Arabidopsis thaliana: one gene and its partners. The protein of the gene in region 3 interacts with the protein of the main gene of each other region in a pairwise test. Each region holds a gene or a part of one and is shown on either strand. Other genes may lie near its edges. The genes, in order: MEF9, MEF21, MORF9 and AT1G06790.

Region 1 (6,412 bases), about 19 Mb from region 3:
GGAGTCGATGACCATCTTATGACTGTTGGTTGCGGCGTACACAAGATCGTGATGAATACAATCCTAAGCCACAATATGCATTCATCTACCTGCGGAATTAAAACCGCCAGTTAAAATTGATCTGATACGACTTAGCTCATATATTAACCGATGATATCACAAGTTCGTTGTAACTAACTAACCTCAGACAGCGTAATTTTGGATTTAGTCTGTGTGCTTCCGCCGTAATTCTCCATTCTCTCAATCTCTAAACCCGAATCTTTCATAGCCATTAGTTCTTTTCTCAAATCTTCATCTGTGCAGCCGAGCGCATATGCATTCACACCAGCGGATATGAATTCCTGAAGATACACACACAAACAAATTAATGAAAGATGGATATACAATCGAGAAGAAAACAAGAATGACTCAAATAAAAAAAGGAAGTTACTTTTAAGGTTTCGCCTTCACCGCGTCCAATCACGGTCCTGTAACGTCTTAAAAGACTTATAGCTATGTTGGGTGATGAACGGTACTCATCATCCGATGAAATCGAGTTGTTGCGTGAGTTACAAAACTTGATGAAATCAAAAGAACAAACACAAAAAAACTTAGGAGCAGTATACAGATGGATGTATAACTTGCCGAAGAGACGAAAACTTTAATTACTAACCATCCATCTCCTTCGAGGCTGAATTTGATATTTTGTAGAAAAAGATGAATGATAACACTCTACATTGCTACAAGGAACTATTGATCTTGGGGAGACAGAACAACTAATCAGAGGACCAAAAGGCGAGGTCTTGAATCTGCGCAAAGCGGCATAGCAGCTAATAGGGATTTGGAATTTGTTGATAGTTCCCGCAGGATACGCAACTAACATTTCTTAACCATATCAATGAAGCAATGCCCTTATCTGCATAAGAGAGAAGCTTTTTTCTTTGAATAACACAACTATATTAGGAATTAAGATGTGTAAGAGTCTAAGATACATTGATGTTCTAGAAAAAAAAAATCAGCTTCCCTGTTCAAATTGAAAGTTGAAACCCTAATTTCATCTCTCAATTCATTCTTAGTCCTTAGAGATATCCATAAGTGGCAAAAAAGAAAACAAATTCAAATGATTTGGATTTGGAGATTAGCTAATATTGCGATCAGAAAATTTGTATTAGCTCAAGAAGAAAATCAAAACCTCTGATCTTTGGAAAGTGTCAAGAATCTCTTAATCATACTGGACCAATTCACAGATACTTACGATCATTTAAATACATCTGAGATTAAAAAGCAAGATATGAACAAAAAAAGGCTTACCTTTTTGAGAAATTCAGAGTCAGCAATTCATATGCAAACTTTTTGTGTGTTTTAATCGCTGCAAAGAATTGGATGAAGCACAAGCTACAAGTGTAAGAGGTGAATTTGAAGCCACCAATATTTTGAATGGCTGCAAAAAGAAAAACATCAAATTTTCAATCAATGTAGACAAAGATTCTTTTTATTTTATTTTTGGGCACTGGAAAAGAAAAACAGATAGAAGCAAACAAGAATCATGGGGATTCCCAAAACGATGTCGTTGGAATATGAGTCCAAATATGATGAAGAGAATTGAGAAAAGAGAGAACTTTCAAGAGTACCTTATCAATTTCTATCTCAATTCTGATCCCAAATCAATTTTTATGTTTAAGTAAACATAAATAAAGGCTGCTTTTTACGTTGAGGAGTCAACCCAACTGGATCCTCTTTCCTTCTTGATTCTTTTACTCTCCATGTTCATTCTCACTTGAGAAGCTTCGTCCCATAGTCCCATATCCGCATACATGTTATATAACAGTACATAAGGTGTTGAGCTCTCTGGTTCGAGTCTCGACATTGCTTCAGCTGCAACATGTGCAAGCCCTACATTGTTATATATCCTACAAGCATCCAATAATGCACCCCATACCGTTTTGTCTGGCTCAAAAGGCATACTCGTTATGATATACATGGCCTCTTCAAACTGCCCTTGTCCACTGGTAACGTTGACCAGGGAAGAATAATGTTCCATCTGCGGCTCGATCTTGTACACACTCATCATGGACACAAACTGTGCTTTAGCCTCATCAACAAGTCCCGCGTGAGCACAAGCGTTCAGAACTGAGACGAATGTTATGTGAGAAGGATATATCCCGTTGCTTTTCATCGACCCGAACAGATTCAAGGCCTCTGAGGCATTACCATGAAATGCATATCCTCCTATCATTGCATTCCATGTGATTACTTCTCTTTTGAGTTTCATTTCATCGAAGATTCTCCTCGACTCCATTATTTCACCGCATCTTGAATACATAGTGATAAGGGCATTGTGGACTGGAACATCGGGGATCACAGTCTTGACAACGATTTGGTGCATCTGCATTCCTAAACGCAGATTCACAAGCCCGGTAGATGCACTGAGAAGAGAAGTTAAAGTATGTGGGTCAGGCTTCTCTCCTTCAATGTTCATCCGGATAAACAAATCAACAGCTTCTTTGTAGTCCTTGTTTTTCTCATAAGCTGCTATTATCGAGTTCCACGAGACTGTATGTTTCTCAGGTGTTTTTTCAAAGTAGTGGCGAGCAAGCTCTACATTGCCAACACTAGCATAACCCGAGACCATCATGTTCCACGAATGTGCATCACGGTTCGGCATTTCCGAAAACAGAGCAAAAGCATCTTCCATCCTGGAAACATGTACGTATCCATCAATCATTGTGTTCCAAGAAATTGTATCGCGGTCTTTCATCTGATCAAATAGCAACCTTGCAGAGACCACATCACCCACTTTCAAGTAAGCTTTGATCATAGAATTCCATGACACAACATTTTTACAGAACCTCTCTCTAAACTCTCCACCATGATCATCACCACAGAGATCAGGAATCTGATCAAACAGACATCGAGCTGCTTCTACTTGTCCTCTCTGTCCATATCCAACAATCAAAGTGTTATAAGCATACACCAAATCTTCCCTTCCTGAAACTAAACTCCCATACTGACCCAAAACCCACGCAGCTTCTGAAAGTCTCTCGTTTTTAATAAGACCAGCCACAAGTGCACATAGAGGAGACGAATCCTTCACAGGCATTTTCCGAAACAACACAACCGCGCTATCCACTTCACCGTTCTGACAAAACCCAGTGATCATAGCACTCCATGACACTGCATTTCTCTCAGGCATTTTCTCAAATAACAACAACGCTTCACCTATCCTCCGATTCTTCGCATAACCACTAATCATAGTGTTCCATGAAAAAGAATCCCTTGAAGGCATTTCATCAAACAGCTTCCTTGCTTCCTCAAGAAACCTAATCCCACCACATGAAACATACCCCGAAATCATCGTGTTCCAAGTCACAACATCTCTCTTAGGCATTACGTCGAACAGTTTCCGTGCTTGATTCATTTCACGCCTTTTCACATACCCGCTTATCATCGTATTCCATGTCACTGTGTTCCTCGCTTCCAGTTTCTCAAAAATATCTCTAGCTTCGGCGATATACCCCGATCTTATCATCTGGTTTAACTCTTTGTTCGTCGCTCGAAAACCCAAGCTTGACGAAACTGAAGTAGAGAAAGAGTTTGCACATAATAAACACTTAAGACAAGACGATTGATACAACACCTTCCTGAAAATTAACAAGACACTTCGTGATCGGATCATCGTCGTCGCCGGCGAAATTTGCAGCGATCAAAAACTAAAAAAGCCTCTAGCTTTGAAAATTAGAGTCAGGTAAATTTGGTTCAGATGATGATGTAATGGACATTCTTCGGTTTACCATGTTTGAACCGGAAATCATTTGGTTCAATTCAGATAGTAAAATGTGTCTATTGTAAACCAAATTAGCCTCTGAGGCCTGACTCCTGAGATTTGGAAGAATCAGTCAGTGGAATGGAATTGATCAGTTGATTCTCACAGTCAGGTGAATTTTGATTTTACTGTGTTTAAACCGGTAATAACTCGGTTCAATTCAGCATTTCCGGTTTTATAGTATTTGAACCGGGTTTGATATCAGGTCAGATAGTAATTAGAGTAGAAATTTCTACAAATTGTATTACATAGTAGTCTGTAGTTGGTTGATCTTCCAACTGAAATTTTTTATCCAGCTAGTTTTGTAACTACTTTTACATACATTATTTTATGGGTAATTAGCTTTGGTTTACAAGTTTCGCCATACACGATGTTTATTTGTCTTTTGGACCAGTAGAAGACCAGAGGACATGATCACGTCTAAGTAATCTTTTGCTATTTGCTGCTGTCAGTAACATCACACTGATGAATATCAAAACTGACATGGATGAGAAGATAAACATCAAGACCGAAGCGACATGGTCTTTCACCTCTTGCGCGTACTGAACCGAGTTTAAAGCGAGAAATGTGATAGGAAACGAGTAAGCCCACCATGCGACATTGAATCTTTTTATCGACTTCTTCAAAAGATTTGGCCTACAAACCTGAAAATGTATAAGAAAAAGAATGTAAAAATGTCGGTTTTCGGTTTCTTGGTGTATCGTAAAGATGTAAACTTACCAGAGATATGAAGATGAAGAGTGAAAGGAAGAATAACATCTTGGCTATAGTATCAAAGTTTCCACAAATAGAGTTCCAAGCTAGACTTGCTGTGGCGGGTGCAGCGAAAAACAAGAAGAAAACCGGTCTTAGCGTGGTTGGGAAATTGTTTCCGCCTGGTAAGCGTTGATAAAGTGTAACAAAGATGACCAAATAGTGAACCATTCCAAGTGAGAATAAGCATAGAGCACACTCTTTCCAACCCATCTCTGCTGCTCCCCGCGCAGCCACTAGGTTTGCGATTACCGATACTTGGCTTGCCGGGTTTGCCATTATCGATAAAAACCTTTTCTCTGTTGTGAACCATTGACCATAAAGCTTTGTGTCTAAAGTCAAGACTGGAACAGCAAAGATCCAGAATAGTGTCTGATATAAAACGCTGTGTGGTTCTATCATAGGAGCTGATTGAAGCAATAGAAGACATGAAATGGATGGAGCGTAAAGATAGTTCACTCCAATATAGTGCGAGAACTCTTCCTTCACCATGTCAAAGAGAAAAATACACTTGAAGGCATACAAAAAACAGAGTGATACTTGTGTTGCAAGTGCTAGGTACCACAGGAGATAATACGCCATAGACGGGAGTTCGCTATGCAAATGCACCATAATCTTCCACAACAATGCTTGGCTACATAGAGAAAGGCTTATTCTGAAATATCCCGCATGGAGACTACTCAAAACAGACATCAGGACAATGGGTTCGGCATCTGCGAGGTTAGTCTTTCTCTCTTTGCGCCTCGATATTGTGTTATCAATCATGATGTGAATTTCTTGACTAGGTATTTCCATCTCGGTATATCGATGAAATAGAGCTTATTTTGCTCTATGTTGTGCTAACCTATAAAAAAAAGAATTCATGTACATAAGCATAAGGCAGAGAAATCAAAAGTACAAAACACAAGTTAGTGTTGGACATTCAGAAACTTTTGGTAAGTTCAATAACTTGTACAGTACATATATACATATCAACATCTTTTTCTTTTTTCTTTCGACATCAACACTTTTTTTTTCTTTTGATGAAGCGAAAATTCTTCTTCAAGCTTCATGAATAAACATCAAACCATTTCAATTGCTTATATCATCATAAATTCTTTCAGCTGATTTATAACTTTAAGTATTAGTTCCTTATAATTCATACAAAGTACTAAATGAAATATAGCTTATATAATTTAAATAAACCTGGATAATTTGCAGCGAAACGATTTAAAAATTGTTTTAATACTTCAACTGTCTGTGCTTCGCCAGTGTCTGCACACAGATTGTGGTATACTAATGTCGCCTAGATTCCTGAACTGTCTTCGGATTCTGGGTTGTCGTCTTAGATCCCCATTTCATCTATAAGACTATAACCAACGTTGACCATGAGCCCTTCTCAATAAGGGAGAGGAGATAATAATGTTGCCTTACGTAAAGATTCCTTATATAAAGAATTTATGTGATCCTAATATCCCTTTTTACTACGTCACGACGGCTATACAATTGTTTTTTTTTACATACAATTGTATACTATATACAATTGTTATATTTAGAAAATCTTTATAATTAACCTTAAAAACAAGTTTAATGTCGTTGGTTGACAAAAAGATGAAAAAGAAATTATAAGCAAAGACATACGATTAGATTTTTTTTTATTTTAGTAAGATGATTCCCAAAAGAAAGATATTTTCCTCAAAATATCCATTTGGTAAATGAACGATGGTAAACAATCTATATTTGTCAAACAAGTTGTAAACAAATATTTCAATTATATATCTATTAAATTTGTATGTTTCAACTTTCAACAGATTCGTTTCTTTCTTATTGGTCTCCAACAAAACAATTCAAATTTGGAAATGTGCTACCAATCAAAAT
Region 2 (5,701 bases), on a different chromosome or scaffold from region 3:
GTCTCTAGACCTTCTGGTCCTTCTGGTCCCAGAAATGCGGATGATATATATTCTGAGTTCTTTGGGGTCTCTAGCCCTTCTGGTCCAAGAAATAAGGATGATATATTTTCTGAGTTCTTTGAGGTCTCTAACCCTTCTGGTCCGAGAGATAAGGATGATATATCTGCTGAGTACTTTGGGGTCCCTAGCCCTTCTGGCAGTGGCAGCAGTGGAGGCAGAGAAGGAGGAGGTGGTGGTGGTGGCACAATGCATCACGGTGGAGCTAGGAAGGCAGCTCCTGTTGAAAAAAAGTTGCCTTGTAGCCTTGAAGATCTTTACAAAGGAACCACCAAGAAGATGAAGATCTCTAGAGAGATTGCTGGTGTCTTTGGGTAAGTCATGACCATTCCATTTCTTATTTGTGAACACCAAGTGGAACTCTTTAGGTTAGCCACTCATCTTAAGAAAGCGTTAGTTAGGGTGTTCGTTTGGCAATACATAATGAAAGCAGAACATTGATCATACTTGATAACCTTGTTGAGTGGCAAAAATCGCATATGCTGACCAGTTTATGTGTTTTCTTTTGAAAAAAACTTGCAGCAAGACGACGCAGGTACAAGAGATTTTGACTGTTGATGTGAAACCGGGGTGGAAGACAGGCACAAAGATCACATTCTCGGAGAAAGGAAATGAGCAACCCGGTGTGATACCAGCGGATTTAGTCTTCATCATAGATGAGAAGCCTCATCCGGTTTTCACTCGAGAGGGTAATGACCTCGTAGTCACACAGAAGATCTCAGTTCTCGAGGCCTTTACCGGCTACACCGTCAACCTGACTACACTTGATGGTCGGAGACTGACCATCCCAGTCAACACTGTGATCCATCCCGAGTATGTGGAAGTGGTTCCAAATGAAGGAATGCCGTTGCAGAAAGACCAGGCTAAGAAAGGCAACTTGAGGATCAAATTTAACATCAAGTTCCCTACAACGTTAACCTCAGAGCAGAAGACAGGATTGAAGAAACTTCTCGGATGAATGGAGTTAAAATCAGCCCAGTCCAGTTAAAATCAGCCCAGTCCAGACAAAACAATGTAGAATACGAGAGGAAGTATCAAAGCTCCTATATATTGTGATTAAATACTGTTGTGGCCTTTCTGATCGATTTGTAGCATATGTATGAATGAGTACTGTTGTGACCTTTATGATCGATTTGTAACGTATGTATAATTAAATACTGTTGTATATTTCTGATCGATTTGTAACATATGTATGATTGAAGACGCCTAATAAGTTTGCTACTTCTTCTATAATCCAAACGCTTCTAAACTATGCCTATAAATGCAAGAGCATTGTTGTTTGTAATCACATCCTGATCTTGATGTGAAGTAAACAACTGCAGCACTATAGATATCTCAGTCCAAAAAGGTTTACTGTTATCTCCTGAAACGAATTCCTGAACAATGTTGTTCACTTCTATCAAACTACCACCTGGCGTTTTCTTCATATTTTCGTTCCTTATCATCTTTCTCAATCTCGAAACATCCTCCCATTTTCCCAAATCTGCGTAAATATTGGCAAGCAAAACATAATTTCCCATATCCTCCGGCTCTAGCTCCACAAGATGATCCATTGCAACCAGAGCAACATCAAGATTGCCTGGTGTTCTGCAAGAGCTCAACAATGAACCCCATATCTTCGAGTCGGGTTTCATCGGCATTGTCTTTGTTATTTCAACAGCTCGTTCTAGTTTTCCTGCTCTTGCCAAAACATCAATCAAACAGCCATAGTGTTCGATCTTAGGTTCTATTTGATAATCTTGTCTCATCATATCAAAATACCTCAACCCTTCTTGCCACATACCAACATGTGAACAAGCTGATAAAAGACCAAGAAATGTGATCCCGTTAGGCTTCACCTTCGCTCTCTGCATTTCATTGAATGTTTCGATTGCTCCGTGAGCGTTCCCGTGATATGCATACCCAGAGATCATCGTACTCCATGATATAACATCTTTCCCTTCCATTTGGCCAAACAATTGGATAGCTTGACTAATCACACCACATTTCGAGTACATTTCAATAAGAGCATTGCAAACACCAGTTTGTTTCAGAAACCCTCTTCTCTCTGCATATAGATGGATCCATTTCCCAAGCTCTAGAGATCCGAGCTGCGCACACGACGGTAAAACAGAAATGAGACTGATCTCATCAGGCTCAATACCAGCTAACTGCATTTCACGGAAGAAATCCATAGCCTCTACATAACAACCAATCCCAGTATACCCAGAGATCATCGCAGTCCAAGATACAATAGTTTTATCTAGCATCAAATGAAACAAGCCTTTTGCTTTCTTCATCTGCCCAAGCCTTGCATATCCAGAAAGCAAACTATTCCAAGATATAACATCTCTCTCATACATTTCATCAAACACTTTATGTGCATCAACAAGATCATCAAACTTCATGTACATATCAATCAATGCATTCTCAGTCACAACATGGAACCTAGGCCCGAATTTGCAGAGATGACCATGAACTTGCTTCCCTAAATAACATGATCCAAGACTCGCACAAGATTTAAACATAAACGGGAAAGTGAACCGATCTGGTAACTCAAAGCTCTTCCTGAGCAGTTGCTTGTAGATTCTGATCACATCGCAGTACAATGAATTGTGAGTATAAGCACGAATTATAGAATTGTATAAGAAGACATTAGGATTCGATACTTGGTTAAAAAGACGAGTTGCATAATCCATATCTTCAATCTTATCACAAAAATCCACCATTTTAGTGACCATGAAGCTGCTTTGTGATAATCCATGTATGATGATGGAGGCATTGATCTTCTTCCATTCATTGCGGCTTTTGACTCGCTGTAGAAAAGGTATAAAATAGTTTTCAACTTCTCTGATTCCATGAAACGCCATTAAAGCTAGATTAGGAAGCTCGTGGTGGTGGAATCAAATTGGCTCCGACCTAACGTCGTTAAACCCAGATGTGTGTCTCTCGGGGTTCACCAAACTTAGGCCAAAAGCCCAATTCTCATTTTCAGGCCCATTTGTTTGATCTTTTTCACAGCCTATTTTCCAGCTTTGTGAACATCATTATTACCAAATGTAAACAACTTGTAAAAACATAAATCTTTTCTTTTCTTCTTGATCTCACAAAAGAAAGACTACAAACGCACGATAGTGTCTGAAATTCACAAGATAGAACTCATAGCTTTTGGTCTAAGAATCCGTGAATTGAAAATACGATTATGGAAGAAGAGCTCTGGTGTGGTTTAATCATATCATTCTCTACTTCTTCGGCTTCACATCAAGGTCCATAGCCTGTAGGTTAAGCAACAGATCGTTAGAGCTCAAGTAAACCTTGTTCGCCGACCTAGAGATGGTCTGTGCGATCTCTCTAGCTGCTTCGATCTTCCTCAGTGTTAAGAACGCTTGGTTGTTTGCGATTGCTTGACCAATGAGCTGAGCACTCTTGGCTTCTCCCTACATAAACCCATGCAGAAACATCAGTTAGCAAGCTTTAAAATAGTTCACAACAAAAAAGAAAAAAAAAAGCAAGCTTTAACACAATCTCCGGTTTTTAAAATGCTAGAAAAGAGAGAAACACTTTTCACACCTCGGCGCGGATAACAGCACTTCTCTTGTCCTGTTCAGCTTTCTCGACAATGAACTTAGCCCGTTCGGCCTCTTGAGCAGCGACCTGCTTTCCTTCTATGGCTGCCGTGAACTCCTTTCCGAATGTCAAGCCTGTGATGGACACATCATCCAGTGCAATGTGGAAGTTTGCGGCTCTTAGAGTTAGGATTTTCCTGATTTCTCTACTCACCGACTTGAAAAACACCAAAAAAACATATATCCATTAAAAGGGACATCAATTTACCATTGAAGAGGAATCAATAAAATGTATTTACAGCCAGTTGGCTAACCTCTCTCTGAGTAATAAGTTGGCTTGCGTTGTACTGAGCAACCACAGCTTTCAAGGTCTCGTGGATGATAGAAGGCAAGACTCTCTCGCGGTAATTCTCACCAAGGGACCGGTATACCTCTGGTAATTGGTCAGCCATAGGACGGGTGAGAACCCGAAGCCCAATCTTAACCTGAATGTTTAAATACCACACAACATAAGCTTATCATGTAGTTCACACGACAAAACCACACGACCTGATTATACCCATTAGTATTAGAAGTGATGAAATGAAGCGGAATACCATCTGGAGATCACGGCTCCCAGATGTGCTCTCAACTAGATAAGGCTTTGCACGAACGTCATAGATGATTGGCCTTTCGAACCATGGAATCATAAGGTGAGTACCCTCAGGGTAGACCTACATAATCAAGCAAGCAAAGATATACTATTAATGGCGCATCAAGATGACTTTTGTAAACGACTATCAAAACTAGACTAAGAAATCAACCTTGTTTACTTAAGCTAGATGCGGCAAACACAAGATTCACTACTAACGGTAAGCCTAACCTAACGTGAGCTATATGCCGCAAACATAAGATTCACTAGTAATGCTAAGCCTAACCTAACTTCAGCTAGATGTCACAACCACAAGATTCATTGTCAATATACAGATTCAGAAGAAACCAATTTTTGCAGGGACTAACCTTGTCTTTGATACCAACAAGCCGGTTAAAGACAATGGCTCGATGACCTCCATCGACATTGTAGAGAGTGTGCGTAGCACCGTAAAGACTGAGCCCCCCAATAACCACCGCAGCTATAACACCACCACCAGGACCTTTGGGAACTTTGACATTCTTAAAATTCATCTTTTCACGAACACCTGCAAATTTGGAACCCAATCAAAATCCAAGGCAGAAACAGATAAATAGAGAAACGAAATGCGTTTGTAGATTAGACCCAAGGAAAACTTGGATCAACGAAAAAGAGACAAAGATAATCTGCAAATTAGCTGAAACGAAACAAAAACTTAGATCACAAAATTGAAGCCGAAGAATCTGAAGCTTTACTCGCTTAAACTAAGAATTCGATCTATAATGAAAATGGCGAGAGGAAGTACCTGAAAATTCTGGAAATGGCGTGGAGAAGAGAGAAGAGAGGGGTTAGGGTTTAAAGCTCAGAAATCAGGATTTTGTTGACGCTTTGGTCGATCACGCATTTTCTGTTACTAGAGATCTTTGGGCCCAAAATTTGTATTCAGGCCCATTAGTGAATTCACTAATTTATTTATTTTTCTTAATATATTTTTTTTTTAGTAAACGATTTTTATTTATTTTTCTTAATATATAAACGGCCATATTTGACATTTCCTTACTTTCTATACAAAAGAAATAATTCTCATTTTGATTAATAGATAGTAGATTAATTATTATCACTTTTCAAAAATGTAACTTTCAAACCCATATTTTGTTGCAAACTGCAAAGGCTCTAAACTTCTTGATGATTTACTACTAAACCTAAATGAAATTTCTTAACTTATATAAAGTGAGATATAGATGATGTGGTTATTTTGTTGATAACTTACTTTGGTTCAAAATTGGTCATCATTTAATAATACATGTATTTAAATTCAAAAAAATAATACATGTATTTTTATAAAGGAAATTTCAAAAAAGAAATATCAAGGCATAGATGAATCAAATCAATCATGCAAATAAATGTTTGTTTTTCGGGAACGTTTCCCTCGCTTTTAGTTAAAGGTTCAAGCAATATATATAACCGAGCAACAAAACAATGCAAAGCT
Region 3 (6,182 bases):
TGGCGGCAGCTCAGATAATTGGCCCAGCGGAGAAACCAGCAGTACTATTAACGACGTTACTCTCACCGATGTTCAAGGTCGTTAAGAAGTGTATTCCTCTTCTTTATAATCTAAGAAGACTATAGGTATCAATTTATAGTAATACTTGTTATATAGAAAATTATGTGTTTAAAGCGTATGCAAACTTATTTGTATAAAGTTTACAAATACCTAATGAAAAGAAAAGTTAGCCTCATTATACAGGGGATTACATGGTTAGCTTCATTTCTTCTCTACATAACCCGACTTTTATCAACCACTAACCAACCATATTAATAATGATCTCATAAAAATCTTTAAATCAACTTAGAAAGTGCTCACCATAGGTTTGTTTTTCTTAACTTACCAAGGAGCCGACAAAATTGTCTCAAACTCAAACTCCACATCTTCAAGCTCTACATTGAGATCTTTTGCACATGACTCCATCTGACATATCTTTTTCCAGGCTGCATCTTTCTGTTCTTTTTCTGCTTCCTTTTGTTCTTTTAGAGCAGCTTCTTGCCTCTGCAGCTCGATAATCTTGTGTTTCACCTCAAGAATCTTTTGTTCCATGTCATCAAACTCTTGTTTAGCCTTGCTAAATTCATTTGTCATCTCCTTGTCAAAACCTTTTAGTTCCTCCATTATATATAGTTGTCTATCTTTGAGTGCTAACAGCTTGTCGATCCGTGATAATGGAGTTGTAACATTGAAGCCATGTTTCTCGAGCTCCGAAAATGAATCTTTAAGGCTATTTAGTTGGCTTACAGGAACGTCGGCTTCAAGATCTTTAAATTTCTCCAGTAACCCAAAATAAGTCACCATCATACCTATTGCATACCCTTCACGGAAATCTTGCTTAGTCTCAAACAATGGGCTGAAATGAAGACTGTGTGATACACTTTTGAAGACCTCCAGTGATTCATAAGTCTTCCAGACCGGTGACTTCTTTGCAAAAGGCAAAACCATTATTGTGTGTTTTGCATGGTTTTCCTCAGCATTAGAAGCAGAATTCTTCACCACATTGGGGGTCCGATCCGAGGATAACACTGGACAGATGAACGCATACACAACACAATGAGAAAATAAAGGCTTATCTACCAGTAATAGTACAATGAGACCATTGCAAGCGGGTCCTACATTCCAGAATGTGCAATGAGAGTTAAGACATACCAGTCTTATTGATGTATGAATTGAGCTTTAGACCTCCTCTTTTCCTCTTTCGAGTATAATATTTGATCTTAGGCTCCTCAGGCATCTGTGCATAGAAGTGTTAAACCAAAAGGAGAGCCATCTCAAAGATAAATAACAATCATAAACAATACCTTCTCTCGAGTTGACTCATTTCCAAAGCCATTCTTCATTGGCACAGGGGATACCTTTCCTTGGGTTTTGTTCTTTGTTGCAGTTACCCCCAGGGTTATAGGTAAACCAGATTCTTTTTTCTGGAAAACAAAGACCATAGAACAATTTCAGGGCGTAGAAAACAAACAAGGTTATAAAAGAATCCACTAGCAGGGTTATGACCATATACCACATCATCAGCCATCTCATTTCCCGGTGGTTCCTTTGTCTGCACATTTCTGTTGCCGTCTAAAGAAGTTTCTTTCTGGCGTTTTGGCTGAAAATGGAAATAACATAACAACACTTCAATTAATCCTCAAAGATGTCACACTAATTAAACCAAACCAACACAATGTTGCCTGCAACTAGTGATACAATTTACCTTTGTTCTTTTATGCCAAACTCCATCTTCCCACTCCATTGGAGGCCTAATATCAGAGTGATTAAATTGCGATGCCTCCTTTGTTGCCCCGAAACTTACCATGTACCTTCCCTCAAAGACAATTCCCCTGACCACACCTTGACGCCATTCAAAACCACTAAACGCCTCTACATGATCCAGCAATTCATACTTTCCAACAGATAAAGGAGGCTGCATAGGCCTTAGTCTTAGGGAATCAACAATTAAATTTTTCGATTCCCGGCAGCTATAGGACTTATTCCAGTACTTGACAAGAAACCTCTTGTCCTTCTCCAACTCCTTAATGACAATTACCGGAATCCAAGCACAATCAAATCTCAATTCCACCATTGTCCCGCAACTAAAAACAGACTTGACCAATTCCTTCAAAGACAAAAAACAAACATACAACAACGGATAAAGTTAACAACTTTTTCATGCAAAGGCGAAACGATTTCAAAAAAAACTCATCATACCTTATTATCAGGTCGGATCCATTTGAAGCCGGTCCAATCAAGATGAACCCTCAATTTCTTTTTCTCAAACTGAATAATGTCTGGTGGGCAATCGAAGTAAACCAAAAACTTCTCATCCTCCATTGTTTTTACCACCACACCAGTCCACCACCCATCTTTGAGATAAGCGTCGACCATCAAGCCTTCTACAAAAACGACGCCGTCGTTCACATCCTCCGACGGGACAGGACGAATGAACCTCTGATCGACGAATTCCGTTAAAGGAGCCAAACGGTGTTCATTGAGCTGCGTCAAGTAACGAACTTTAAGCTTATTGTGTCCTGATTTCGTTGGATTATCTTCCAGAATCGCTCTGTAATAAGACCCTTTTAACTCTTCTTCTTCAGAAAAAACTTCTACTTTGTCGTCTTTTCTAATGAATATCATCTGCTCCATCTCAAAAACCCTTGAATGAAAACTAATAACGGCTCATTTTTGCTCTGCTAACCCTAAATCTAAAAAAAGACTTTTCTGCTGAAACCCGAAAACCATAGATATGATTATATGAAGGAGACTTTTTGCAACCAAAACACAGTGCTACTGTGTCTGTGCTTAGTGTCGATATTCACGATACACATCGGGGAAAGTGTGTTTTCTTTTTTTCTTTCCCAATTTACTTTTCTTTTTTTTTGGCGCTTGAAATTATGAGAAAATGATTTAAGAAATTATCAGGCCCAAACTATCTAATGGGCCTAATTAAAAACGGTGTCGTTTCATAGGATCCTCATCACGAAGCAGGTAAGTAAAAATATATCTTATCTTCTCCAAAACTCTCTCTTCGATTTCAGCAATTGCAATGGCTTCCTTCACAACAACTTCTTCTTCCTCGCTTCTCCTCAAAACTCTTCTCCCCGTAAGCCACCTGAATCGTTTCTCTACACTCTCTGGTATCCGCGTTGGCGATTCATGGACTCCTCTGCTCCGGAACATCTCCACCGCTGGGTCTCGGCGTCGAGTGGCGATTGTGAAAGCTGCGACGGTGGATTCGGATTACTCGTCGAAACGGAGCAATAGCAATGAGCAGAGAGAGACGATTATGCTTCCTGGTTGCGATTACAATCATTGGCTCATTGTAATGGAGTTTCCTAAAGATCCAGCGCCAAGTAGGGATCAGATGATTGATACTTACCTTAACACTCTTGCTACTGTTCTTGGCAGGTTCGTTTTCGCTTTCTTATTGATTCTCTTCGTTGTTGAATTAGTTAACTAATAGACGACATTTACTTGTGTTGCTAATGGACTTGTCCTTTGATTGAATCCAATGTTGCGTATAGGAAGATTTGGTTTTTTGTTAGATTAGGGTTTTTGATGATACTTTAGGGTAAGGGTTTAGTGAGCTGAGTAAAGCTTTCAGCTTTAAATTTGCTCTGAAGTTGACCTAGTTCCAGAATTTGTTCTTAATATCAGGTGTAATCTTTAGCTGACTTGTTTTTCGTCTCTTGATATGTGCAAACTTATTGAACATTGCTGCATATTGAACACAAAACATTGGTGTCTGATTTGATATCTAAAACTTTGTGCTCTTTAGCGTAATTATGAATGAAATTAGGGGGAAGAATAGAAGCATCTATTTTTGCATATTTTCTTCAAGCTATGTATAAATTGTAGGTGATTGTGCATGGTTTCTGTTTGTTAAAAACTTGATGTGGACAGTGTAAGCTAGTAATGTATGTAAAAGGAGTGTACAATTGTGCAGAGCATTAGATTGGGACTCCTGACTAGAAATTTCTTGGTATGGCAGGGAACGAGTTTGTGTTACACAACTAATGACTAAAACTTTAGTTTATTTGGTGCTACTCTCTATTTTAGAGAACTTTGATTCCGGTTTACACTATCCTGCTGATGTGATAACCAATTAATGTACTTGTGTCCATTTTCCAGCATAACCAGTTCATCGTGTTTGCTTATTATATGTACTTGTGTCTATTTTCCAGCATGGAAGAGGCGAAGAAGAACATGTATGCATTCAGTACCACGACATATACTGGATTCCAATGCACCATCGACGAAGAAACATCTGAGAAGTTCAAGGGTTAGTTAGTGAGCAAGAAGAGCCTTAGTCCCCTTATTGAAAGTTCGTCGAAAACCTTCAAGATACTGATCGTTCTGTCTTTTCATTATTTTCACAGGTTTGCCTGGAGTTCTCTGGGTCTTGCCTGACTCCTACATAGATGTCAAGAACAAAGACTATGGAGGTAACCCATCAAAGCCTGATTTTAAACTTTCTAGGATCTCTCTCTCTCCCAGTATCCATGTTCTGATAATTGAATCGTTCTTTCTCGGGTTTAGGCGACAAGTACATCAATGGAGAGATTATCCCGTGCACATACCCAACATACCAACCAAAGCAGCGCAATAACACTAAGTATCAAAGTAAGAGATACGAAAGAAAAAGAGACGGTCCTCCACCTCCTGAACAGAGGAAACCAAGACAAGAACCAGCAGCCTCTGATTCCTCTTAAACTATAATAAGATAATGGAGTGTTTGCAAGTTTTGATCTTTTGGTTAGCACTTAGCTTGTTGAAGTCGTGTGTAAAATCGTCTAGTACCAAATGATGATACTGTATCATCACACCTTGAACAATAGCTATTGTTATGTTAGGATGAAATTCAACTTGAACCATTTGTTTATTTAGGTAATGTTCGGTTTTGGTTTGGTTTGATTCTTTGTCAACCACTGCTTTTTCCCCACGTTTTCTCAACACCAATTTCAGACAAGACAAAACAATTGTAGGGTCACACACTCGTCACCAACTCACCATCTACATCAGTCGTCCCTACCTTATCAACACATCACATGGAAATAATACACTACTCTCTCACGGACTTGGAACCAAACATTCCAAATTAGTTTAATCGACAGATCACTGCTCAGCTGAATCGTTTTCTCTCATCAACCGCAGAGAAAGACTTTCAAGATCATCCTTCAAGCTCTCTCAAATGGCCAACTTCTATGAGAATTACCAGAGTCCTTACGATTACAATCAGGTTAATAATCTCTACGATCAAAATCATTATCATTACAATCAACAGCAGCAGCAGCTTGGTTTCGAACCAATGAGTTATAATTATTACAACTGGAATGAATCTGAATCTGAATCTGAATATGTTGCTTACTCTGGTTATGATGATCCAATGAGTTATAATTGTTATAACTGGAATGGATCCGAGTCTGAGACAACCTCTGCATATGTTGCTTACTCTGTTTCTACCATGTCTGAGCCTAAACACTTGTTCTATGATCCGAATCTCTATACAACCTACGAATCTCCTCCTCAGTTTAGTATCTATTGCTCTGTAGCCTCTGCTCTTGACTTCAACGAGCCGGAATTCGATGAATACGATCCCACGCCGTACGGTGGTGGCTACGATGTTGTTGCAACCTATGGAAAACCTCTTCCTCCATCGGTGGAAACTTGTTACCCTTGTTCAACCGCTCCTCACGCTAAAGCTCCCTCTCCTCCTGAGATTATTGCTCCTGTTCCTCTTGGAATTTATGATGGTGGTCAAAAGAATGTTGTCAAGAAACGTGTGTCTTTTGCTGAACCGGTAGAAGAAGTCAAACCAATAGAAACCATTAAAGAGCAAGAACAAGAACAAGACGAAGATTATGATGAAGAAAGTGAGGACGAAGATGATGGTGATGATGATGATGAAGAAGAAGAAGAAGGGGATGAGGAAGCTAAAGAAGAAGAAAAAGATCACAGTTCAAGCTATGGAAATGAGGAATATGAAGTCGTAGATAAAGGAGAAGTGAAAGCTTTGTATGTTCCGTCTGGTTACGGATTAGAAGCGACCGATCTCTGTGAGGTTATATTTGGAGGTTACTTTCCTTGTGTGTTACGTAACAAAAGACGTCAGGAAGATGAACAAGATCGTGGGGCTGCTGTTTCTTGCTGGGAAA
Region 4 (6,562 bases), 1.8 Mb from region 3:
GGCTCGAGTGGATAGCTGATCTCAAGGATTTCCTCAAACCGGTATCCGGAAACGGATTCCGATGCCCCGACCCGGCCGTAAAAGCCGAATCCGGGTTTCTGGATCTATACACGGACAAAGATACATCCTGCAATTTCTCCAAATTCTCGGCGCGAGAGCAGGTTCTTACGGAAGTGAAGCGGCTGGTGGAAAGGTACGGCGACGAGGAAGGAGAAGAACTGAGCATCACCGTGACGGGACACAGTCTCGGCGGTGCGCTGGCGGTGCTAAGCGCGTACGACGTGGCGGAGATGGGTGTGAACAGAACGAGGAAAGGAAAAGTGATTCCGGTGACGGCGTTCACGTACGGAGGACCGCGAGTTGGGAACATTCGATTCAAGGAGAGGATTGAGAAATTGGGAGTGAAGGTGTTGAGAGTGGTGAACGAGCACGACGTCGTGGCGAAATCGCCGGGACTGTTTCTGAACGAGCGTGCGCCACAGGCGCTAATGAAATTGGCGGGAGGATTGCCGTGGTGCTATAGCCACGTGGGAGAAATGCTGCCGTTGGATCATCAGAAGTCTCCGTTCCTTAAGCCCACCGTTGATCTTTCTACGGCTCATAACTTGGAAGCTCTCCTCCATCTCCTTGACGGGTCAGTCATTCTTCTTTTTATTACTTTTTTACTTTAAAAAGTAATTTTAAGATTTCCAGCTAATATTTTGACAAGTCAAAAGCCTTTGAGGAGACAGATCTCAATGTCCACATTTTCCAACACCATTTCTTTATTAATACGATTTTCAAAAATTTGGTAAACATTATTGCCTCATCAAATGCCGAATGGAGAATAATGGGGTCATTTAGTAATCTGATTTACGTGGCACTTCTTTCTTTCATGGGTAGGTTGGAGAGAATTTAATTATCGAAAACTACTAGGAAATAAATTTGTCGTTTAGAGCATAATAGTATTAGTATGAGTTGATGAATCTGGATTATTGTTTAAAAAAACATAGGTATCATGGGAAAGGACAGAGATTTGTGTTATCAAGTGGGAGAGATCCAGCGTTAGTGAACAAAGCATCTGATTTTTTGAAAGACCATTTCATGGTCCCTCCTTATTGGCGCCAAGACGCAAACAAAGGGATGGTGAGGAACACTGACGGCCGTTGGATTCAACCTGATCGCATCCGTGCAGATGATCAACATGCTCCTGACATACATCAACTCCTCACCCAACTCCATCATCCATCACAACTCTTGTAATTTATCGATTTTTTTTTGGTTTTTAATCTTCCTAATTTGTGTCATTGCCTTTTTACATTACAGATAAACAAAATTGAACGTCCCTATCTTAGTGAAAACCCGTGCATAGTTTAAAATAAATTTTAAGTTTTCATCAAAACTGGCTTGATCATCATCTGTTAAAATTTCATCTGACAATGCCTAGACTAAGTCTCGGTCTCTCACCCTTCTTGATCAACCTGTTCATAAGAATCCCACCTGTTTCGGTCACTCACTCTTCTTGATCAACCTGTTCATAAGAATCCCACCAAGAAACAGGACCCAAACCATCATCATCCATATTCCCCTGCGCAGTACACAAGATTGATTGACCACTGGACCGACGTAGGAAAACCAAAACAAAAAATCATGGTGTCTCAAAATAAAAGTTAAGTATCTATAAGAGAGGAGGGAATCAGGAGGCTTATCTGACCTTACTTAACTAGCGTTGTTTATAATGCATATACAAGTGGAAAAGTTTCAGAGAATGAGTTTGATGAATGAACTTACAGTGACCACCATTGGAGCAAAAGGCTTTGCGTCCTCTGCTCGCTCAGTTGGAACTGATGGATAGCTGATGCTCTCTACTCGAAACTTGATCTGCCATTTACAATGCCTCGTTATAAAAACATACCACATTCAGATAATTATGCTTAAAGATACATGCAGGAACCAAAAATTCACCTGACAGGCATCGTCAACAATATAGTCTTCTTTCGGTTCTCCATATTCCCACACCCATATCATTTGCTTCCTGTGAACCAAAAAACATTATACTTTGTGATCAAATGATATATAAAGATGTTGGTGCAATCTCCTACTCATAGTTGGAGAGCTGGTAGTACTACATAAACTGCAGGACACATATTCTTACCTATTATAAGGGTCAGGCTCACAGCGGTTGGGTTTCGGCATAAGTGGAGCAGGCACATAAATATCGTCAAAGAATCCAAGTGTTACTGCCAAGTATAGAGGTACCGTAAGCATGTAAATGATTAACCATATCCATGATTTCAAAGTATTAATCCAATTCATAAGTAGCTAATAAGCTAACAATGTACTAGAGTAGCAGGATGCAGACAGTGCACAACATTGGAATTCTTCAGGGAACAGTATAATAAAGTACTCACAGCGCAAGCCATTGGCGTCAGATTCTTTGAACTTTGCAGCTATGACCTCACCAACAAATGGACGGAACACAACAATTCTAAGACCTACCTACAATCACACAAACAAAGTATTAACAACACGACATGAGATATTGAATCAAGGCAAGATAAAACTTTTGAAAATAAAATTCTTAACCAAAACCGTACAGTGAAAGTTAGACTAACAGATAACGATTCCGAAGAACCAAAATCTCAGAATGGTTTGAAACTCTAGTACGGTAATGATGAGTCTACAAAGATGTAACTCAATACAGTGCAGAAAGTGTGCAATACACGGTGATAGGTCAACAATGATGCCACTAACAGTGACATTGGGAGGCCATAAAATTGATATAAAAAACCATGTTCAACTGATAAAAGAATAGAGATGAGAAAAGATCAGCAATTTGGATATACCTTATAGGTCGCAGCACCATCACCGGGTAACACAAACCCTCCTTCTACTGATTTAATGTCGTAAATAGATACACAAAGCCCCAAATCAGCTAAAACCTTTCATAGCAAAAATCCACTTTGATAAAATTAGCCAGGTGTGTATATAAATAAGCAAACAATGGATACCATAAAAGTGAAAGAAAAAGGGCAATGAGCAAACCTTGTCCAAGAACACATTTTGAAGCACTGACTTAATGGCATCTTCGAGAGGGAGATTAAGTAGATGCGGAGGCACTCTTAGTGAATGTTCTAGCTCGCTAAGATAAAACATTTCTGAAAATTTTGTTCAAAATTCACAAGTCAGATGCATGGAAAATTGGAAACAAACAATCAAAGAAGTAGAATTCGAATAACGAATCAGACAAATTCGGAGCATTCTTGGTCATTAACATGCATATCATCAAAAGTTCCAAAATTCAAATCTAAAATTCATTAAATCATAGTACGTAATAATAGCCCAATCCTCAAGATTAAGCATGTGCAGAGCGTACAAAAATCTGCCATTGTCATAACTATACGAGAGAACAAAACTATCTAAAATCGGGCAATACCTAAACCATTGAAGATAAGATGGTCTCGAAGGGAACTCGGAGAGATGGTGATGAAGACAACGATTAGACGGAAAAGTGAGAAGTTGGGAATAGATTGGAAGAAGAGAGAACCTACTAATCGAGTGAGGAAGATGCGGAAGAAGAAGAACGATTTAGGGTTTAGTTATTAAAGTCAAGAATTAAAACAAACCGATCGGTTTGTCATCGTTACGCTTATAAACCGAACCGAACTGAAAACCGCACTCTTTTTATTCATACCGGTGGGCCAAAAAAGGAAATTGGGCCAAGTCCAAGGTATGACAACAATCTGTTGCTGTCAGCCTGTCACTATAGTCTAAGTAATATTAAGCTCTGATGAAAAGTGTGAAAAAAGAAGAACCAAGATATACACTGATGTGGGATAAAGAATGAAGCTAATCATAACATTGATATCATGCTTGAGTAGCTTGTTTAACAAAAAGAATCTGAAACTGAACCTAAGTTGCCAGATTTTTTTTTTTTTTTTTTCGTATCAAGCTTGAAGATTGCACTGTTGCAAGTAGGTGTGATGGTAAGGGACGTGTATGTTCCAGTAACGTTTGTAATTCTCTTTTCCAATGTCCAACCACGGCTTCATGACCCCATCGTAGTGTATAACTGCCGCTTGTTCGATGTCAACCGCTTTGACTCCTGATTCGCGACCTAACCCCATCACATGCCATCTCTTGTCCAATGCTAATGTTTGCCTATAGAAAGTCAACCAACCTATTGGTAAGCTCCCAGCTTTCCACAATGGTCTCTTTGTTCCCTGCCAAAAAAACAAATTCCCCAAAACCATTGTTAGGTTTACGCCCATTACATAGACAAGATATGTTGTTGCTTGTAACCATTCTTCTTCTAGGAGATGATCTTTAGCACTAGCTTGCTTATGTTCTTTGCTAGTTACAGCAATGTTATTTGTGTTCTAAATTCAAAACCTTTCATCCTCGATATAGCCAACCTAAAACCTAATAATTATTACAATCTTTTTCATATATAATGACGAATCAACAAATCTAAGAACCCATTTGAAAACTTTGAATATGGCTACAGTGTTATTTCCATAGGGAGAGCAAGTGCAGTAGAGTGTGTGTGTGTATATAGCGTACCAGGTTGAAGTATTTTATGTATGTAGAAGTCAACTTCCGTATTCTCCATTCTTCGAGATCAATTAGATTCATCCCGAAAGCCCATGTGCAAGCTCTAGGACTAAATTTCCCAGCGACCCATGTGTCTGAGAAATTAATAAATGTGCTCATTGATCGAAATGAAGATTCACCTTCAAGACAAGTCTCTACAGCTCCAACCACCTTTCCTTTCATATCAATGCTCCACAGTCTACTTAAATCTCTTTGAACAACTACATCATGGTCCAAGAGTACCATCTTGTTCAAACCCGGGAATATATCCGGGAGATAGAAGCGTGCGTGATTGAGTGTAGAAATGAATCTTGGGTCATTAGAGTTTTGCTTCATCAGTAATTGATCATAATCTCTAGGCAGGACATCCATATCATCAATGTTTAGGATTTGGATAGTAGCTTTACTTTGAATGTTTAGCAGAAACCACATTGAGATTGCTGGGTAATTAAGTGAATCAGTCACGACATGGAAGACTATTCTTTCTGGCTCCTGCAAACAGCAATCAGAAGCCACATTAATAAGTGGCGGAAGTAAATGAGAAGATATAGTGTAAGACACTCTAAAATTAGGTATAACATATAATGATAACCAAGTAGAAATTTGTATAAGAAATGCATGATACCTTTGATGAAGATATCGTAGAGTTAACAACGACTGAAGAAGCCAAAACATTGTCAGAGAAGACAACATAATGATTGAAATTAGCGTCAAAATAATTTTGCTGGTTAGGCATCTGCCTTTTTTCAGGATCCAGTGAAAAGTATTCTGATGTCAGCCGCATTGAGAGACAGTGAAGCCCTTTTGGGGTGGTCCTTGCTGCAAGCTGCATTAGATACGCTGCTTGATTTTTCTGCGCCTGAACTTGTTCTTCTGTGTTATAATTCATGGCACGGAGTTTGGTAGCGATGGCAGGGCAATTGTTAAAGACACGACTAGCCTTATATAACACATTTTCCATGGGCTTCACCCTGCGGAGAGCGCTGAAAGAAACAATCATGTCAGAGGTTACTAAAATAATATTCTTAAACAGCACGACTTTTGGCACTAAAAGGTTGTAGTTGTAACAGCAAATTTCTGAATGCAATTATGGTATGTTCTCCTTTTGAATCAAGCAGTTGTGCTTACCCCTTTGATAAGTCCTTGTCCTTTGTTGCATCACCAACAGACCGTTCCAGCTCTTTCAGCCGACCTCTCAACTCCTTCACAACTTGAGAGTTACTTCCAGGTGGAGCGAAATTCAGGTAGGCTTTAGCTTGAATAATTTTGTCTCTGATCTCCTTCGTTTTCACATCTGTTGCTCTGTCGGGCTGAACCCTTGTGTTCTTTTCACCCTTAGATAAAGGGGGCTTGAAATCCGTTTTATTAGCAAGTTGGTTGACTGTTGGTAGAATTTGACCCTGACACAAAAAAAACCCAATAAATTGTAATCATGAAACATCTAATAATTTGATGGAAAGTGAAACTTGGCTTTTCTATTCCTTAGATAAACTAATCAACATGGACCGCAATGACTTGTAATCTGATTCTAGGATTCAATATCGGAGTTATTCCATACCCTGAGCAATCATCAAGTTCATGTTACTTTATATCAGCTGGACTGATCAAGTTCATGTTATCTTCAAATCAGTTGTATTTATATATACACACCTTTTCATCAGAGCTAACTGTCATCTTCTGTGAAACAATCACTTGTTCTTCCCTGTTTTTGTAAGTATTACCTACAACCCATGATTACGACAGATAAAAAATCTGAGGAGTTAATGACATCAGAGCAAATCAAAGCAAGATTGAAAATATGATCCCACCACCATCACTTTCAGCAGACGAATTAAACTCCCCATCCTTGAAGAGAATGAGCCTTGGCCCCTTCAAGCCTTCTCCATCCTCCTAAATCACAGAGAGAAAAAACTTCAACAAAACGCATGGTCAAAAGGTTTTAAGGAGATGACCTAGAGGAACCTGTAACTTCCAACTTACATGTTCAATA

What was found.
Region 1: the proteins of MORF9 (region 3) and MEF9 interact in a two-hybrid assay, tested with the Arabidopsis thaliana proteins (one study listed by BioGRID).
Region 2: the proteins of MORF9 (region 3) and MEF21 interact in a two-hybrid assay, tested with the Arabidopsis thaliana proteins (one study listed by BioGRID).
Region 4: the proteins of MORF9 (region 3) and AT1G06790 interact in a two-hybrid assay, tested with the Arabidopsis thaliana proteins (one study listed by BioGRID).

Annotation. Positions count from the first base shown.
Region 1 is NC_003070.9:22,996,142-23,002,553, forward strand, and holds MEF9 (mitochondrial editing factor 9), read right to left. Parts: upstream 3,689-6,412; 5' UTR 3,656-3,688; coding exon 1,685-3,655; 3' UTR 1,614-1,684; downstream 1-1,613. Other genes in the region: AT1G62250 (orotidine 5'-phosphate decarboxylase), read right to left, coding at 1-89, 183-341, 431-556, 653-862; SLAH4 (SLAC1 homologue 4), read right to left, coding at 4,177-4,446, 4,523-5,350.
Region 2 is NC_003071.7:8,841,365-8,847,065, reverse strand, and holds MEF21 (mitochondrial editing factor 21), read right to left. Parts: upstream 2,916-5,701; 5' UTR 2,907-2,915; coding exon 1,302-2,906; downstream 1-1,301. Other genes in the region: AT2G20550 (HSP40/DnaJ peptide-binding protein), read left to right, coding at 1-371, 580-1,015; PHB6 (prohibitin 6), read right to left, coding at 3,279-3,473, 3,607-3,819, 3,917-4,087, 4,199-4,315, 4,602-4,766; FLA6 (FASCICLIN-like arabinogalactan 6), read right to left, coding at 5,660-5,701.
Region 3 is NC_003070.9:3,844,200-3,850,381, forward strand, and holds MORF9 (plastid developmental protein DAG), read left to right. Parts: upstream 1-3,020; 5' UTR 3,021-3,073; coding exon 3,074-3,435; intron 3,436-4,211; coding exon 4,212-4,309; intron 4,310-4,406; coding exon 4,407-4,472; intron 4,473-4,566; coding exon 4,567-4,739; 3' UTR 4,740-5,025; downstream 5,026-6,182. Other genes in the region: AT1G11410 (S-locus lectin protein kinase family protein), read left to right, coding at 1-85; DUF2 (agenet domain protein (DOMAIN OF UNKNOWN FUNCTION 724 2)), read right to left, coding at 382-1,067, 1,192-1,276, 1,344-1,463, 1,553-1,639, 1,745-2,146, 2,239-2,673; AT1G11440 (uncharacterized protein), read left to right, coding at 5,219-6,182.
Region 4 is NC_003070.9:2,084,218-2,090,779, reverse strand, and holds AT1G06790 (RNA polymerase Rpb7 N-terminal domain-containing protein), read right to left. Parts: upstream 3,599-6,562; 5' UTR 3,416-3,598; intron 3,138-3,415; 5' UTR 3,136-3,137; coding exon 3,025-3,135; intron 2,922-3,024; coding exon 2,826-2,921; intron 2,479-2,825; coding exon 2,391-2,478; intron 2,220-2,390; coding exon 2,135-2,219; intron 2,015-2,134; coding exon 1,945-2,014; intron 1,861-1,944; coding exon 1,771-1,860; coding exon of another isoform or gene 1,741-1,770; exon of another isoform or gene 1,568-1,740; coding exon 1,493-1,567; 3' UTR 1,333-1,492; downstream 1-1,332. Other genes in the region: PLA-I{gamma}1 (alpha/beta-Hydrolases superfamily protein), read left to right, coding at 1-634, 993-1,242; GAUT6 (galacturonosyltransferase 6), read right to left, coding at 3,927-4,202, 4,543-5,064, 5,198-5,555, 5,701-5,972, 6,223-6,293, 6,381-6,462, 6,553-6,562.